2 linked regions of the Caenorhabditis elegans genome follow. The protein of the gene in region 1 purifies or fractionates together with the protein of each later gene. This does not show direct contact. Each region holds a gene or a part of one and is shown on either strand. Other genes may lie near its edges. The genes, in order: trpl-5 and slc-9B.1.

Region 1 (8,725 bases):
ACAATTTAACGTTTCAAAAGTTACACTTAACGAGATAGTACTTGTCAACTGTTCCACAATTACCATAGACAATCAAGTAATTTCCGACAAGAACTTGAATCTTTTCATAAAGCATTGGATTAAAGGATCCAACTGCCAACTCAAATCGTTTGAGTACCACATTCGGCCAACCGAAAGACTGCGATTTGTGGAAGTTTCACTTTTTGAAGGTATCGGTTACATGGAAAAAGAAGAGGATGATCACTGGAAACGATTCGAAATCAAGAGAAACGACGGAACAAAAGCGACTGTCTTATTATCAAAAACCGATTACATTTCGTTTGTCATGTGTGTCTCGCCGGTGGTTTTAACAGACTTGCCGGCTTTTAAGATATATCAGTAGAAAATTCAATAAAAACTCAAATCTCATTAATTTCTTTTCTGAAATGCCTAGTTAATTGAGCAGTCAAAATTTAAGTATATCCCCAGTTGATCCAGTTGATGCTCCACTGTTGTCTCTTTTTTTCAAATCAAAAACTTCTGACATTATAAATCTCCATATATGTACGTTTTTAATATTTGTTTTCCTTCATTTATAAATTTTCTGTAATGATCTGTAATGCCAAGTGGATGATGAGTTGGTAATATTAAAATAAATTAAAATGAATAAATGTTTTTTAAAGGTTTCATGTGAAGTGTTTATTTTTATTTATTTAAAATGTTTTTGTGAAAAATAGATAAAAATTAAATATAATTTTGTACTGTATTCCAGGACGGTTAGGATTTTCTAAAGTAAGCAGCCGACATCTGCGAAGGCCCGCGCTGGCATGCGCACTAAGCTTGATTTTATTTCCATGGTTTTTCCCACAGATTCTCTTTTTTTTTGCAAATTCTCATTTTTGAGCTTCTTTTAATTCTTTCTGTATTTTCAAAACCAGATTTTTGTTATGATGGGACATCCTGACTCCACGTACGCACGCACAGAAACGCGACGGCTAGCAAGCGCGCTCTAATAATTTTTTTGAGGAAAGCGGAGACCAAGATGGTTAAGGTAAATAGTCTGTGCACTCCCCAGGGACCTTGTTGTAATATTTGCCATCTGTTGTGGCGGGGTCACCCCCTCCCACCTCTTTCTCCCGTTCATTATTTCCCCAAGACGGCCTACTGAATGGCTGTCCCTTTTTTTATTGATTTTATGCTTAATTTCTTCAGAGGTTCTTCAAAATGAGTGGTAAGTTTTTTTTTCAAGTTTATTTTTTATTATACTAGTGTAAATTTTCAGAAATTTTCACCATTGAAGAAGTCCTGGAAGCCATACTCCAGTCAGGAATGAAGTTGAAATTGGAAAAGTCGAAGTTCGAACATACATCGTATCGAAAGATGGAATACAAACCGATCCTGAGAAAATTAAAGCTGTTTCGAAGTTTCCCCAACCGAAGAATGTGATGGATGTTTGTCTTTCTATCGACGATTCATCAAAAACTTTGTGGATCAACTACGATCTGAACTGACGAAGAAGGATGTTAACTACAAGACCAATCCTGGTGGCACCTGTTTTTGGGAAACCGTTCGTGATCGAAACAGACGATTTATGATTAGATTTTGGTGCTGTACTATCGCAAGCACAGGACGAAAATGGCAAAGATCTTCGCGTCGTGGCGTATCTCTTGTGGCGTAATATAAATTTTCTGTGGTGAATAAATTTTGTAATTGAGATTGTTTATATAATTGTTTTTTGATGAAATGCCAGATGAATCCTTCTACTATGAAATAACAATATTTTCATTGTACAGGAAATAACCACAATCAATTTGACTACATTTGTAGCTTGTCCGCGTCAGGAGATAAAAATCATTTCCGAATTTTTTTGGGCTTTTTTTTAGTGTGAAACGTTGCTTATTATAGTTCCCCGGCTCACAACTTTCGAATTTGAATAACTAAGTTGTAAGTTCAACTTGTAGATGTGTAGAGAAATTTTTTATCTTTCGAACAAGCCTAATTAGACATTTGTAGCTTGTCCGCGTCATGAGATAAAAATAATTTTCGAATTTTTTTGGGCCGAATTTTCAAAACTTCATTACTTTGCAGAAACTTGACCGGGGCAGCTAAATTTTTTGGAGAGATCATAACTAAAACTCTTCTATCGGAATATCAACATGAGAACCCCAAATCTACCGGCTTCTTCAAAGACTTCTCTCGTGAGAAGAAACCGATAACAAACATAAAATTCCAAATTCTATATTACGGGAAAATCGAAGAGAGCCCTTCTTCATAGGATTGTTCAGAATTGATCTACTCAGTCTAATCCTATCAGCTCTCTTGAACAGAATGTTTCATCATTTCTGATTGGAGTTCCTCTCTCATAAACCAAAGCACAAAGTGTTAGAAATTATCGTGCTGATAAGAAAACCGTTTGTTGAAGTTTTTGTCCTTATCAAGTGTGCATTGTTTCACAACACTTTATAAACTTGCTATAGTTAAACATTTGCTGATAATTTCAGAAAATTCCTGCTGCTAATTTCGTAATAGATGTGTGTCTCTGTTGTAGATGCTTCCTGAGGAACTTGCTCACTTTATTAATGCTTAAAAAGAGCACATCAATTTTTTATTTTAGTTGCTTCGATGCTCTGTGGACATGTCAGGCTCTAGAAGCTCCAGTTTTCAACAACAATCCGCGTCGCAAGCCTTGCTATCTTCGGAAACTACTAAAATAACTATTGAAGCGGATGCTAAGAATAGGGAGACTATTCGTAAGTTGTTGGAAGCGTACGAACAAGAGGTGGGCTATTTTTTCGAAATTTATTTTTTAGAATTAAAAAAATAAAAAATTGCTAAAATTTGTCCAAATTATTTCTAGAAACCATTCTAGAAAAATCTGGAACCTAACAGAAGTTTTCAGAATTATCTCGGAATTTTCAAGCATTTCCCATAGTTTTGGAACATGATAGTGTTTTTGAAAAAATCCCAATAAGGACTATAAAGTTACTGAAATGTTCTAGAACACCCTAGAAATTTTTTTCAGCACAACGTATTCAAGGCGCATGGAATAAAAGGAGCTGACAGAATTTTTAATGAAATTGAGAATATTCTACTTCTGGATCTCAATATCAAAATTGGTAATTTTTGTATTTGATCTTGATAACTTAAACTATATAACTAAAGTCTTCAGTAACCATATATAACAACGACAAAAACTCTGCTGCAATGATTATCGCAGCATTCTTCGGCCGAAGGTTCGCGCTAGATAACCAACCCGGAAATCCCACAAAGTGAGTGTACCTACGCCTGCCTACCTACCTATCACCTCATTTTCAGGTACGTAGAGAAAGATCTTCTGAGCGAATGCCATCATCCTTTGCACACAATAATGGTCATGTGCTATATAGCGCACGTTATGCAGAAGAAATTTTTGGGCAAGGATTCCGGATATGAAGATGGAGAAGTCTACGAGAAACTCAAAAAGTAAGGGATATAATTTGGCAAAGCGGCAAATTTCAAGTCTGCCGACTTGTCAGAAATTTTCATTTTTGGTGGTTTGCAGTTTTGCCGATTGGCAGGAAATGTTTAATTCCGGCAATTTGCGGGTTTTCCGATTTTCCGGAATTTTTCATTTTTGCAAGTTGCCGATTTGTCGATTTGCCGGAAATTTTGAATTCCGGCAATTTGCCCATTTGCCGATTTGCCGGAAACTTCAACTCCGACAACTTGCCGATTTGTCGCAATTTTCAACTCCGGCAACTTGCCGGTTTGCTGAAGTGCCGGAAGTTTTCAATTCCGGTAAATTGCCGGTTTGCCGATTTTCAGGAATTTTTCATTTTGGGCAATTTGCCGATTCGCCGATTTGCCGAAAATGTTCAATTCCGGCAACTTGCCGGTTTGCCAATTTTCTTAAAATTTTCAATTCCGGCAGTTTGCAAATTTGCCGATTTGCCGGAAATCTTTAATTCCGGCAAGTTTCCCGAAATTTTCAATTCCGGCAACTTGCCGATTTGCCGGAAATGTTCAATTCCGGCAACTTGCCGGTTTGCCAATTTTCTTTAAATTTTCAATTCCGGCAACTTGCCGGTCTGCCAATTTTCTTAAAATTTTCAAACTTTAAATTCCGGCAGTCTGTCAATTTGCCAGAAAAAATCGTTTGCCACCCACCCTTCAGATGTTCTAATTTTCTACTCACAACTAAACTTTCAGTGAACTCGAGGACATTGCCTGCAAAATTGTGAGCCATTTGAACAGCGGAGAAAGCGGAGCTGATCGAGTTGCAATAGTTCTGCAAGCGGATTATAAGTCTGAATTTGGAAAGGATACAAAAGGAAAAACTAATACAACTGAGAAATCAGAAGAGAAAGTTGGGCCATATCATGACTATCTAAACCGGAAGTTTGACCAAAGTCGGGAAATCATGGCGATCGCGTATAAGGCAAAAGCAAGGGTAAGAGTATTTTTTCTTTCTTGTGTCCCGACATTTTCCGGGCTCTGCCACTCAAGAGCGTTGCCAATAAAAATCCGCGCAGCCCTGAAATTGTCGGGCGCTTGAACACGGCTCAGTTTTTTGGAGTTCTGTAATTATTAGTTGAAATGATGTGCTGTTAAATTTGAAAATGTGTCAATCTTTTTACAGAAGTTCCTATCTCTCAGGCCATGCTTACACTTAATGGAGACTCGAAATAAGGCCGTGAAAACGATCAAACACACGCTGAATTGGGTAATAATTAAAGTTTCCAAAGAAATTTCGTTCAATTTTTTCCAGACATTTCGACTTGCTTATATACTCATGTTCGCCTATATGCTATGCCGTTATCCGTTTTACAGCAGTTACGACAGTACAAGTAGTCTTGGCTTCTGGGAAATGCTCCCTTTTCTGTTTGTTCCCGCGGTGCTCATAGCACAAGTGTCTATGACAATTATCAAGTCAATTGATCATTTGGTAAGCTCACAGACTTAGGCTTAGGTAAAGGCTTAGGCCTCAGCTTAGGTTCAGGCTCAAGCTTAGGCCTAGGCTCAAGATTAGGCTAAGGTTTAGGCTTAGACTTAGACTTAAGCTTAGCCTTAAGATTAGGATTAGTCTTAGCATTAGGCTTTTGCTTGGGTCTTGACTTAGGCTTAGGTTTATGCATAGGGAAGAGAGGAAAAAAATTCCAGAAATATCAAGAATTTAAAAAACGAGAAAAAAAAAACTAAAATTGCACAATCTCAAAGAAAGCCGAAAAACGTCCTGTGCTCAGAACAAAAAAAACGAATAGTCTGGCAAAAACCTCAAAAAAAGGAAACTTGCCCAAAAATTGCCCGAAAATACAAACATTGCCGATTTCAGATTTTTGACGATTTCAAACTGAAACACGGCTCCAATCCATTTGGCTTCTACTTTTCCAGTGTTCAACGCTACGTTCGTTTGAAGAAGCTCGCGTTTTGGAGAGTTTGTTTAGTAGTTCCACTTCTCAGTTTAGAGGCAATTCGCTTCGTGGTTTTTGCGGGTCTTCCCAGCAAGCCCAGGAACTTTTGGTCGGGAGGATGGGTGATTTTGCCTCTTATGCTGGAACTTTTATACTGCTCTCTGTTCACTATTGCGACGATCTCAAGTCTTCGATTCTTCCATTCAATTCAGTCTATTGGGTTTTTTGTGCACATTTTCAAGAAAATGGTGAGCAATTTTTAATATTTTATTGGTTGGTTAGACGCGAAATTGTCCCAAAAGACTTTTTTAACTTATCAAAATTTTTAATTTAGTTAAAAGGCTTCCATGTAGGCGCCAAAATGCCTGCCAGCCTTGCGGCAACCTCCGCCTACCTCGCGCCGCAAGCTGCATCGTATAGTGTGACGCGGAACCCAGAAACTGTCGGGCGCTGCCAAGAATTACAATTTCGCACTATGCGGTGGCGATAAAGCAGGCGTCAGGCAGGCAGGTTTGGAGCAGGCGTCAGGACCTGAAACCTCGCCTGCCTCCATGGAAGCCCTAGTTTTCAAGACAATGAATTATGAAAGTTAGTTTTTTGAGTCAAACTTGAGTTACTCCACCTGTGAATATTGAATAGACGGTGTGCTTATTAGCCTCGCTGGCAGGCATACCCAGAAAACATGCCTACCTATCTGTAAACCTAAATTTCAGATGAAAACTGTTGGAATGTTCATATTGATATTCTGTACGTTTTGGTTCGTCCTAGCAGTGACTCACGTCAGCCTCTCCAGTAAGTTAACGGCTCCGAATGCAGACTGAAAATCCTAAACTCTTCCAGGAACTCTCCTAGTACATAACAGCACATTCATCTACACACTTAGTCTACCTGGAAAGTTTGAAATATTCGGAGAAGTACAAGATGAAGATCGCATCGGGATACTGTCCAACTGAAGCCATTTTACCAAAACTTTTTGGGATTTTTTCGAGATGGAATATGCGGAAGCCAGTTGCCTATTTCGCAGTACAATTATGCCGTTTTTGGTTTTTACCTACATTTTTGTTTCGGGGATTCTACTGATTAACTTGCTAACTGCGCAGTTAACGTGAATTTTTTTCTGGAAACTTGAAATAAAATTCTATCCAATTACAGAAAAGAATACGAAAAACAATCGGAGAACAGTCTTTACTACAAAGGATACCTTAAATATGAACTTGAGGCAAAGTAAGTGGATCTGCTGTAACCTAACAAAAAGTACTGTGAATATTTTCAGAATTGAATCAAAACTCTACCTGCCTCCTCCGCTGTCACTTATTTATATACTTCTAAGATGTTCAACATGTATGGTCCTACTGATCATGTGGGGCATACAAAAATGGCTCAAAAAAGATGCCGGACGAGTTACACAGTTCTCAGAGTACATATGGAAAAACATTATCGAAAAAATGGAGGGACATCCGTGGGGAGTTGTCAGAAAACATACACCTTCGAAACGAAAAGATCAGAATGATCCCAATGCTCAGAATGCACAAAATGGCAAAAACGATCCAAATGCCCAAAATGCACAAAGTGATCCGAATGCCCATAATGCTCAGAATGTCCAAAATGCTCCAAATGTCCAAAATGCTTCAAATGTCCAGAATTCACAAAATGGCCAAAATGACAAAAACGATCCAAATGCCCAGAATTCACAAAATGGGCAAAATAGGCAAAATGATCCAAATGTCCAGAATTCCCAGAATGCACAAAACGGCCAATATGCCCAAAATTCAAAAAATGGCCAAAATGATCCAAATGCCAAGAATGCACAAAATGGCCAAAATGATCCAAATGCTCCAAATGCCCAAAATAGCAAAGATGATGCAAATGCTCAAAATGCACAAAATGACCAAAATGCTCCAAACGATGCAAATGGCCAGAATGTACAAATTGACAGAAATGATTCAAATGCCCAAAATGGCCAAAATGCTCCAAATGACCAAAATGCTCAAAATGATCCAAATGCTCAAAATGCTCCAAATGTCCAGAATTCTCAAAATACTAGAAATGCTCAAAATTCTCAGAATGCCCAGAATGCCCGAAATGCTCCAAATGCTCAGATTGCACAAAATGATCCTAATGCTCCAAATGCTCAGATTGCACAAAATGCTCCAAATGCTCAAAATGATATAAATGCTCCAAATGTCCAAAATGCTCAAAAAGCTCCAAATGCTCAAAATGCACAAGAGCAACAAGAGGCACAGGCCAAGGAACTTGAAAAGGAAATTGGGCAGTTTTTATGCAAGAGGTCATTTGGCGTCCTGGAAGGACTGATGGATCTTGTCGGCGGTTTCGAGAAGCACACACTCGATGTGAGCACGCTGAAAACAATAAAAGAGAAAACCAATCAGTATTGTGATAGAGTAATTGATGAGGAGAATGCCAGAGAATGCCTTAATTTAGCAGTCAAATTTTAAGTTTTATTTTATTCAATCCAATATATATATATATATATATCCCCAGTTGAACCAGTTGATGCATCTGTTTTTAAATCAAAAACTGCTGACAATTTAAATCTACGTACATGTATGTTTTTACTATTTGCTCTCCCTCATTTATAAATTATCTGTAATGATCTGTAATGTAAGTACCCATTAGATAAAACACTGTCAATAATACAAGATTCATTTCAATCGTCTTAAAAATAGTCCATAAAAAGTTCAAATAAGTCTTTTTCAACTCTATTAAATATCTCAATAGAAATTTTAATAAAGTGTCCATCATTCTCGGCTCTAGCTTGGAAACCAATTGAACCATCATACCAAAATTCGATCAGATTTGGGAATCCATTTACCTCTTCCTCAATGTCACTATCGACTTCTTCTTCATCATAGTAATACACCATCTCGTGACCTTCTGCGAGAAGGCTTAGCAGCTTGTATAAATTTTTGACCATATCAGCATCATCTGTGCGGAAGCAACGGCTTGGTACTTCAAAGTCTTGCTTGCTCAATGTGTCGATAAGGCCGAGAATTCAGTGATAAAGCTTCGTTGAGGGAAATTCCGTCCAACGGAATACTCCGAGGATCGATCAATTGGTGGAGCTGCATCGACCAATTGAAGATCATTTTCATCTTGAATCTCTGGAAGCACTGGGGAAGACGCTCAAGAAGGTCGAGAATCTGGCCTTCTCCTTCAATCTTCAGCCATTTAACATTGATCAACTGGCGTCTGCCTTCCAGTTGCCGGATAGCCAGAGTTTTCGGGTCCTCGTCGAACTGAAAACGTATTCATTAAAAAACCCCATTAACTTGAATAATAAGTAAAACTAATAAAGTATCTTACCTTATTCTCGGTGCCAAGCTTATATTCCACAT
Region 2 (6,593 bases), on another chromosome or scaffold:
AGTTCTTTTCGGTTGATTTCTGCAATGATCTTATCGTATTATGGTCACTTTAATATCTACGAACAAATTATTTTGGCATTGACCTTAATGCCAAAAGCGACTGTTCAGTGTGCACTGGCCCCGTCACTCATTTTTATGACAAACGGTTTCCCGGAACTCCGCGAGCAAACCAAACTAGTAAGATATACATATTATTGGATTATAAAAGAAGGAATAGCGGGAATTGTTTGATTAATCCTTTTTTATTTGCAGATCATCAACATTTGCATTACCGCAGTGATGGTGACAAGTCCTATTGTGGAGATATTATTAGATGTTTTGGCCCCAAGAATATTGAAAATTAAAGAAGGAACTTCGGTATTTAATCTTTAATCCAATTCACCAAAATGACAGATATTTTTTTAGACTTACAACAGGAACATTACCAACTCTACTATTCTTGACGAAATGGATCCAAATCTAGAGCTGAAGAAGACATCGTCATCGAATAGCACCAACAACAGCAGAACCAATCTTAATAATAGGATCATCTACGAGTTAAACCCAAATTTTGTGCCGATCAGTATCGAGAACGGTTATTCTCGAGCTTCATATCAACACTCTAATAACACAAAAACTTACGCAAGCGGGAATCGGATCAATAAGTGATTGGAGTTAATATTTTTAAACGAAAACATTTTCAACAGTTTGTTGAAAAGTGCATTATTGTTGCTATATTCCCGATATTATTCCTTTTTGTTTTTATAAAACATTCAAACTCGACATATTGTAAAGTTAAAATCTCAAGCCATATTGAACATATGTTTTGAATATAAACATTATGTTTCGAATAAAACACCGTTTTAAAAATATTTGCATTTGTCTTCAATTGCCAAACGGAGAAATACCGAAATCATTTAATAAACTTGTATTTGATTATTTTACCAATTGGTGCAGAATTTGTAGAAAATATATTGTGTAACCCTAAAATTACTTTCATGATAATCTTTTTGCCAGATATATGCAACTAAATTTTCAGAAGCGTTCTGTTTTCCTAATAACTTTTCAGTCGAATTTTGAACAAGATTATTGTTTCATTGATCAGTGATGTCATTTTGCAAAATAAAACACAAAAATCATGCGGTCATTTGCAGTTAAATCTTTGTAAACAAAAAGATCATTCTATTGTTCTCTATATAAGGAACTAATTAAACCAATAAAAATGTTTTTTCGTGTCGTTAAGGTAACTATATTATTTTTACATTTTATCTGTTATTGTAGTAATGTGTTTTGCTAAATTTTAAAATGATTCTCACAACTTTTCTTCATAATTTTTTGGTAATACTCAAAGGGAAATTCTTTTATACTTCAAAGTTACTGTTATGTACTGGAGGTGGAACGAGGAGAGAATACGAGTAGTTTTTTACATTCCTAACTAATAAATAAATAGAAAGTTAAAGAAAGTTAAAAAAAGAACTCACGTTACAAGGTCTTTGTATCCGCGAGAAGTTTTAAAAAAATTTAAAAATAAACAAAAATAAGTTTCTCAGAAGGAAATAGGGCGGTCTATAATACAAATAATATTGATTATTACTAGAATATTATTTATTTGAATTAGCATTACGCTCTATTTTTTTAATTATAGAGTGCACTTTAGTTTTGGGTCCAAAATAATAAACAATGAAACCCCTGAACTTCGTTCTTTCTGACTCCTGTTTTTTTTCATTTGTTTCTTTTCACACACTTTTCAGACTGACTCGACTGACTCATAGTCTTTCCGAAATTCTGAAGACTTGAAATAAAATTTAAACTAGAATACCGGTGCGTCAACGTTAAAGGATTTGCATAAACGGCAAGTAGCAACATTGAATAATAGTATATAATATGCAAAGGCGAAGAGGCGTCATGCGTTATTGAATAAGTGTATCAGATTAAACGGTAAGCACCCCCTATCTCACTCTCCGAGAAAGTGAAGATAGTTAGTTGAAAGTTAGTAACGGTGTGTGGAAGCGACATTGCAAACACGCCGGCTCTCCTCCCGTTTATTCCGTTTGCCGATTTGGGGCTCATTTGACAGTTCGATCACACACAACCATTCATCTTTTTCTTTCATTATACACTTCTCTTTTTTGTCCATTTGATCTTTTAACAATTTGTTAACTTCAGTTATCAAACAATCACGTGGTGATCAAAACAAATCATGCATTGCGTGGCAAGATTGCACAACACGCTACACAACTTTTTTAATAACAGAGAGGTTAAATTTATAACTTTTCATGTGTAATTTAAAACTATTGTTTTTCAGATAAACTCAATAACTACAACAATACTTATATTCATTTCTCTGTACATTTCTATTATCACTCTCTTAGGTGAAAACTTTTGTAAGTAAAGGTGTTTGAAATCTTTCAAACATAGATTTCAATTTCAGTGAATCCACTTGCCGATCATGTAAATCCAGTCAACGCTACTAATGAAGATGTGACCGTGCGATCGATATTTGTAATATTTATTCTTCTTGTTGCTGGAATTTTTGCAGCAAAAATTTCAAAAGCATTGAGGCTTCCTCCACTATTCGGTATGTGTTTTTTGGTTAATACTGATAATTACTAGGATAAACTATTTGCATGCATTTTTAATCGATTGAGTTATTGATTCTTCAATACCAATATATTTTTTATACGAGTTTATGCCTGAATTTCCAATTAAACCCTAAATGTAGTTTAAGACTTAGTATTAAGATAATCTGCTAAACAACAATTGCATAAACTAGGGCTAAAGGCACACGTTTTTTTTTTAACATGTGGGCCCTGTCCCAATTTCAGTGATTGCTGAAATTGCCAACATTTTATGATGTAAAACACAAATCAAATGTAATCCAAACTCTAAAATATACATTGAAATACAGTATCTACCGGAAAACATTTAATACCTCGTATCACATTTATGCGAACGGATGGTACGCCGAAAAAAAGCATGAAATACTTAATTTAGTCCTTTGAATATATTGAGATTGGTTGACGTACACCAGGATGCATTAAAAGTTTAATAGACCTGTCTGGTAACAGTAAGTAGATTGAAGAGATGCACGGAAAAAACTAGGGCTGTACAACCGGACGTCCGGTCGTCCGAACCGGACGCACATGCGTCCGGTTGGGGGTAGCTATCCACGACGGCCGACAATTTCCGAGTTTCGCGACTCACTATAAAATTGCTGATTAAGAATAGTGAGTGGCGAAACTCGGAAATTGTCGGCCGCCGTGGAAACCTACCCCAAAACCGGACGCAGTGCGTCCGGTGGTGTCAAAATCGGACGACCGGACGCCGATTTGTACAGCCCTAGAAAAAACAACACATGGTTTAAAAATGATTAAAAATGATGTAGTAAGAAGAACAATTAATTCTGCACATCTTTGCATTTTTTCCAGGATGTCTTGCACTTGGAATAATTATCAAAAACATCACTGTCTTTGACCAATTTTTTGTCTTCCCTCCATTTGTCGAAACCATGATTCGAAAAGTCGCTTTGGTCATGATTATTGTTCGTTGGGGGCTTGCAACAGATATTCATTTTCTTTATGAAAATGCTGTGAGTTGGTGTTTTGCATCTACAAACTATAACTATTTTTTCAGCTCATGCCAGTCACCATTGGTCTCGTTACAGCAATTGGAGAAATAATTGCAGTCACAATTGCATCATACTTCATTTTGAATATTTCATTTGTGATGTCGATTTTCTGCGCGTAGGCTTTCAATTTCCTTTTTCACTTTTTCATCAACAATTTTTATTTTATTTTTATCAACAATATTTTTTCATAATTCAGATTAATTCTTGTGACGGTGTCCCCTGCTGTGACCGTTCCAGCCATGATCAACTTCAAAGAAAAACAATTGGGGTCTCTTAAAAGAATTCCTGAAAATATTTTGGCCATTTGTTGCGTCGACAATCTTTTCTGCGTTATTTTATTCATGGTTCTTTCGTCCATTATTTTTACCGATGGTAAGTGTTTGAAACTTGCTCAATTATCACTGAATGTTGATTCAAGCCCCAATAGCTACTACAATCCTTCTCAACGCTGGAAGTATTGTATTTGGATGCATCGGCGGAATTGTACTTGGATGGATTCTGTGGAGATTCCCAAGATCAGATGCTCCACACACTCAATTCGCAAGAATAACTCTTCTTGGTACTATTTGTATTGCAGTTGTTATTGGAACTTATCTTATCAAGTACTCCTGCTCTGGTTTTCTCGCCGCTCTCATCACTAGTGCAATGAGTGCAATGCAATGGAAAGCAGATAATAAAGAGAAGTTAGAATGCGTTGAGTCTACATATAAATACATATGGGATTCCTTCGCGCTTCCACTTCTTTTTATCTGCCTCGGAATGAAGTTTGACTGCTCAACTGTAAGTAGTTAGAGATTGATGTTTTCAAAGTGTCATTTTCAGCTGACATGGGAGATTGTGTTTTTGTGCATTGCTGTTATTGCAATTGGTCTGTTAGTAAGAACGATTTTGGTAATGTTGGTAACACTCTCCTCACACATTAATTTCAAAGAGCAAATTGTTGTTGCTCTGAGCTTGCTTCCAAGAGCCACTTTCCAGGTTTGTGCACAGTTTTTTTTGGTATCATGTTTTTTTCACTCTATTAGTATGAAACACATAAAATTTCAAAATGTTAAACACAGTGGAACTTTAGCTGAAAATTTGCTAATTTAGGCCGACCTTGCTCCAACTCTACTTTTGATGGCTACACCATTCCCAGACATGGCCAAGGATGCAGCACTCATCTTAAAAGCTGCCATTTTATCTGTTCTAATCACAGCTCCTATTTTTGATATTCTTCTCAATCTTGTTGGATCTAAATGTCTCTCTCAATACAATCCACAGGTAGCGTTCTCACTCCCATTTTTGAAATGCAATGTGAAACAAATTTTCATTCAGGATGCGCCGGCAATTGAGAAAAATTTTGACAAAACCTATATGAATGGTGATCATGTTGATGAAACCATCTATGCCGCCCGTCCGAAGACATATTCGGAATACCGCAGTGAAGCTGTTATCGAAAGATATTAAAAATTTACCCAAACTTTTTAGATTTTATTACAATTTTCCTCTGAAAAAAAAAACAAAATAATTCCTAATTTCCCATATTTATAATATTATTATCAAGTCAATTCAAATTCAATTTAAATGACCATAACCAGGAAAAGACATTTCACCAATTTTCCAATTCGATTTATTTTACTTATCCACATCTACCAATTTCCCGTTCCAGCATGTTTTTAAATATGTCATTCTGAAATTTCGTCATGATTCTGTTATACCCTTCTTACTTGAACCATATCTGATCTTATCAACCACACCAGTTGAACCAATTTTTTGTAACCAATATGAAATTTCATTTACAAATATTTTATCAAAATGTGACAAGAAGAAGAAACAAAAGATAAATCAGCATCAAGCAAGATTTGTGCAAATACAGCAGTGCATAAGTTAAGTATAACCACATAGTTTAGATCAGGACAGGTTTGATCAGAGATTTAGCTGAAAAAATCTTAGGAAAGAAAAACAATATGACCAAAAAAATAAAATGTTGAATAAGTGTTTTTATGAAAATTACATATGAAGGCAAGTGGAAAGCGGATAAATGTACTGGCAAGTGACATGACTAAAAGCGACTTTTGTTCTGACTTTCCGGTTTTGTATTGAGCGGCTTAAAGCAGAAGCGTCTGACAACTTGATCCGTTCTCAGGCTCATCGAGATACACGATACTGCGCTGCGGCTCCACTGCAGTTTGAAGTGGACTCTCTGAATCTGTTTCTAAAGATTGCTGGTTTGTTGAAAAGTTCACTGACAACGAGTGCATGCAGGGAATGAATGGCTTCCTATTCTTCGTTGGATGTCGGGTGTAAAAGTTCTTAACGAAGAATAACTAAGGATCAAACAACATAAAAGTAAAACTCACCAGAAATCACCGTAACAGGCTGTTCCTCCACTTTTTTTTTTCGGTTTGCACGTCGAAACGGGTTAGTTATCATAGCGGTGCGTTCTAAAAAAAAAGCTAAGCAAAAATAACTTCAAATTTATCAGGTTTTACCAGTGATGACGCGAATTGGACCAGTTCCAGGACGACGCGCAAACAAGCAGGGAACAACTTTTGCGAACTCCTCACTGAAAATGAGCATTGCAAGAAAATGAAAATTAAATAATTCAATTTATTGAATTTAATTTAATTGAATTTAATTGAATTTTGAACTGTGCAAATTTTTTAAATAATCCTAAATTTACCAAAAAGTGTCTTTTTTTTTAGTTTAATCTGTTTCTAATTATAAGAAGAAACAGTGTCACGAGAGGAAATTTTATTGAGTATTTATAAAAAATAAATTTTTAATAAAATAAATGAGAACTGAACACACAAATGCAGTCTAAGATAAAACTTCTTGACTTTTTATCAATTGTATTTTCTAGCACATGTTTACGTATCAAATTTTATAACTTGTATTTTCAACCTGAACGAGAAGAAAACAACCCCTCGTAATCTTTTAACTGCAATTTATTTTCCAATAAATCGTTGAGTCACTAATGATTATCAATTGTTGTCTGTATTGT

What was found.
Region 2: the proteins of trpl-5 (region 1) and slc-9B.1 fractionate together in Caenorhabditis elegans (co-fractionation; one large-scale study listed by BioGRID). This does not show direct contact.

Annotation. Positions count from the first base shown.
Region 1 is NC_003280.10:2,084,508-2,093,232, reverse strand, and holds trpl-5 (Ion_trans domain-containing protein), read left to right. Parts: upstream 1-2,596; 5' UTR 2,597-2,614; coding exon 2,615-2,758; intron 2,759-3,001; coding exon 3,002-3,095; intron 3,096-3,148; coding exon 3,149-3,248; intron 3,249-3,294; coding exon 3,295-3,441; intron 3,442-4,167; coding exon 4,168-4,408; intron 4,409-4,597; coding exon 4,598-4,681; intron 4,682-4,726; coding exon 4,727-4,903; intron 4,904-5,290; coding exon 5,291-5,617; intron 5,618-6,082; coding exon 6,083-6,161; intron 6,162-6,209; coding exon 6,210-6,322; 3' UTR 6,323-6,474; intron 6,475-6,521; 3' UTR 6,522-6,593; intron 6,594-6,642; 3' UTR 6,643-7,984; downstream 7,985-8,725. Other genes in the region: fbxb-37 (F-box associated domain-containing protein), read left to right, coding at 1-382; T16A1.10 (Transposase), read left to right, coding at 1,204-1,210, 1,262-1,425; fbxc-49 (F-box C protein), read right to left, coding at 8,342-8,626, 8,694-8,725.
Region 2 is NC_003284.9:10,277,454-10,284,046, forward strand, and holds slc-9B.1 (Cation/H+ exchanger transmembrane domain-containing protein), read left to right. Parts: upstream 1-2,145; 5' UTR 2,146-2,179; coding exon 2,180-2,236; intron 2,237-2,284; coding exon 2,285-2,363; intron 2,364-2,410; coding exon 2,411-2,557; intron 2,558-3,407; coding exon 3,408-3,568; intron 3,569-3,612; coding exon 3,613-3,722; intron 3,723-3,803; coding exon 3,804-3,979; intron 3,980-4,025; coding exon 4,026-4,387; intron 4,388-4,429; coding exon 4,430-4,585; intron 4,586-4,699; coding exon 4,700-4,870; intron 4,871-4,924; coding exon 4,925-5,056; 3' UTR 5,057-5,389; downstream 5,390-6,593. Other genes in the region: F41E7.2 (Cation/H+ exchanger transmembrane domain-containing protein), read left to right, coding at 1-177, 253-357, 406-648; npr-6 (G-protein coupled receptors family 1 profile domain-containing protein), read right to left, coding at 5,698-5,792, 5,950-6,033, 6,082-6,155.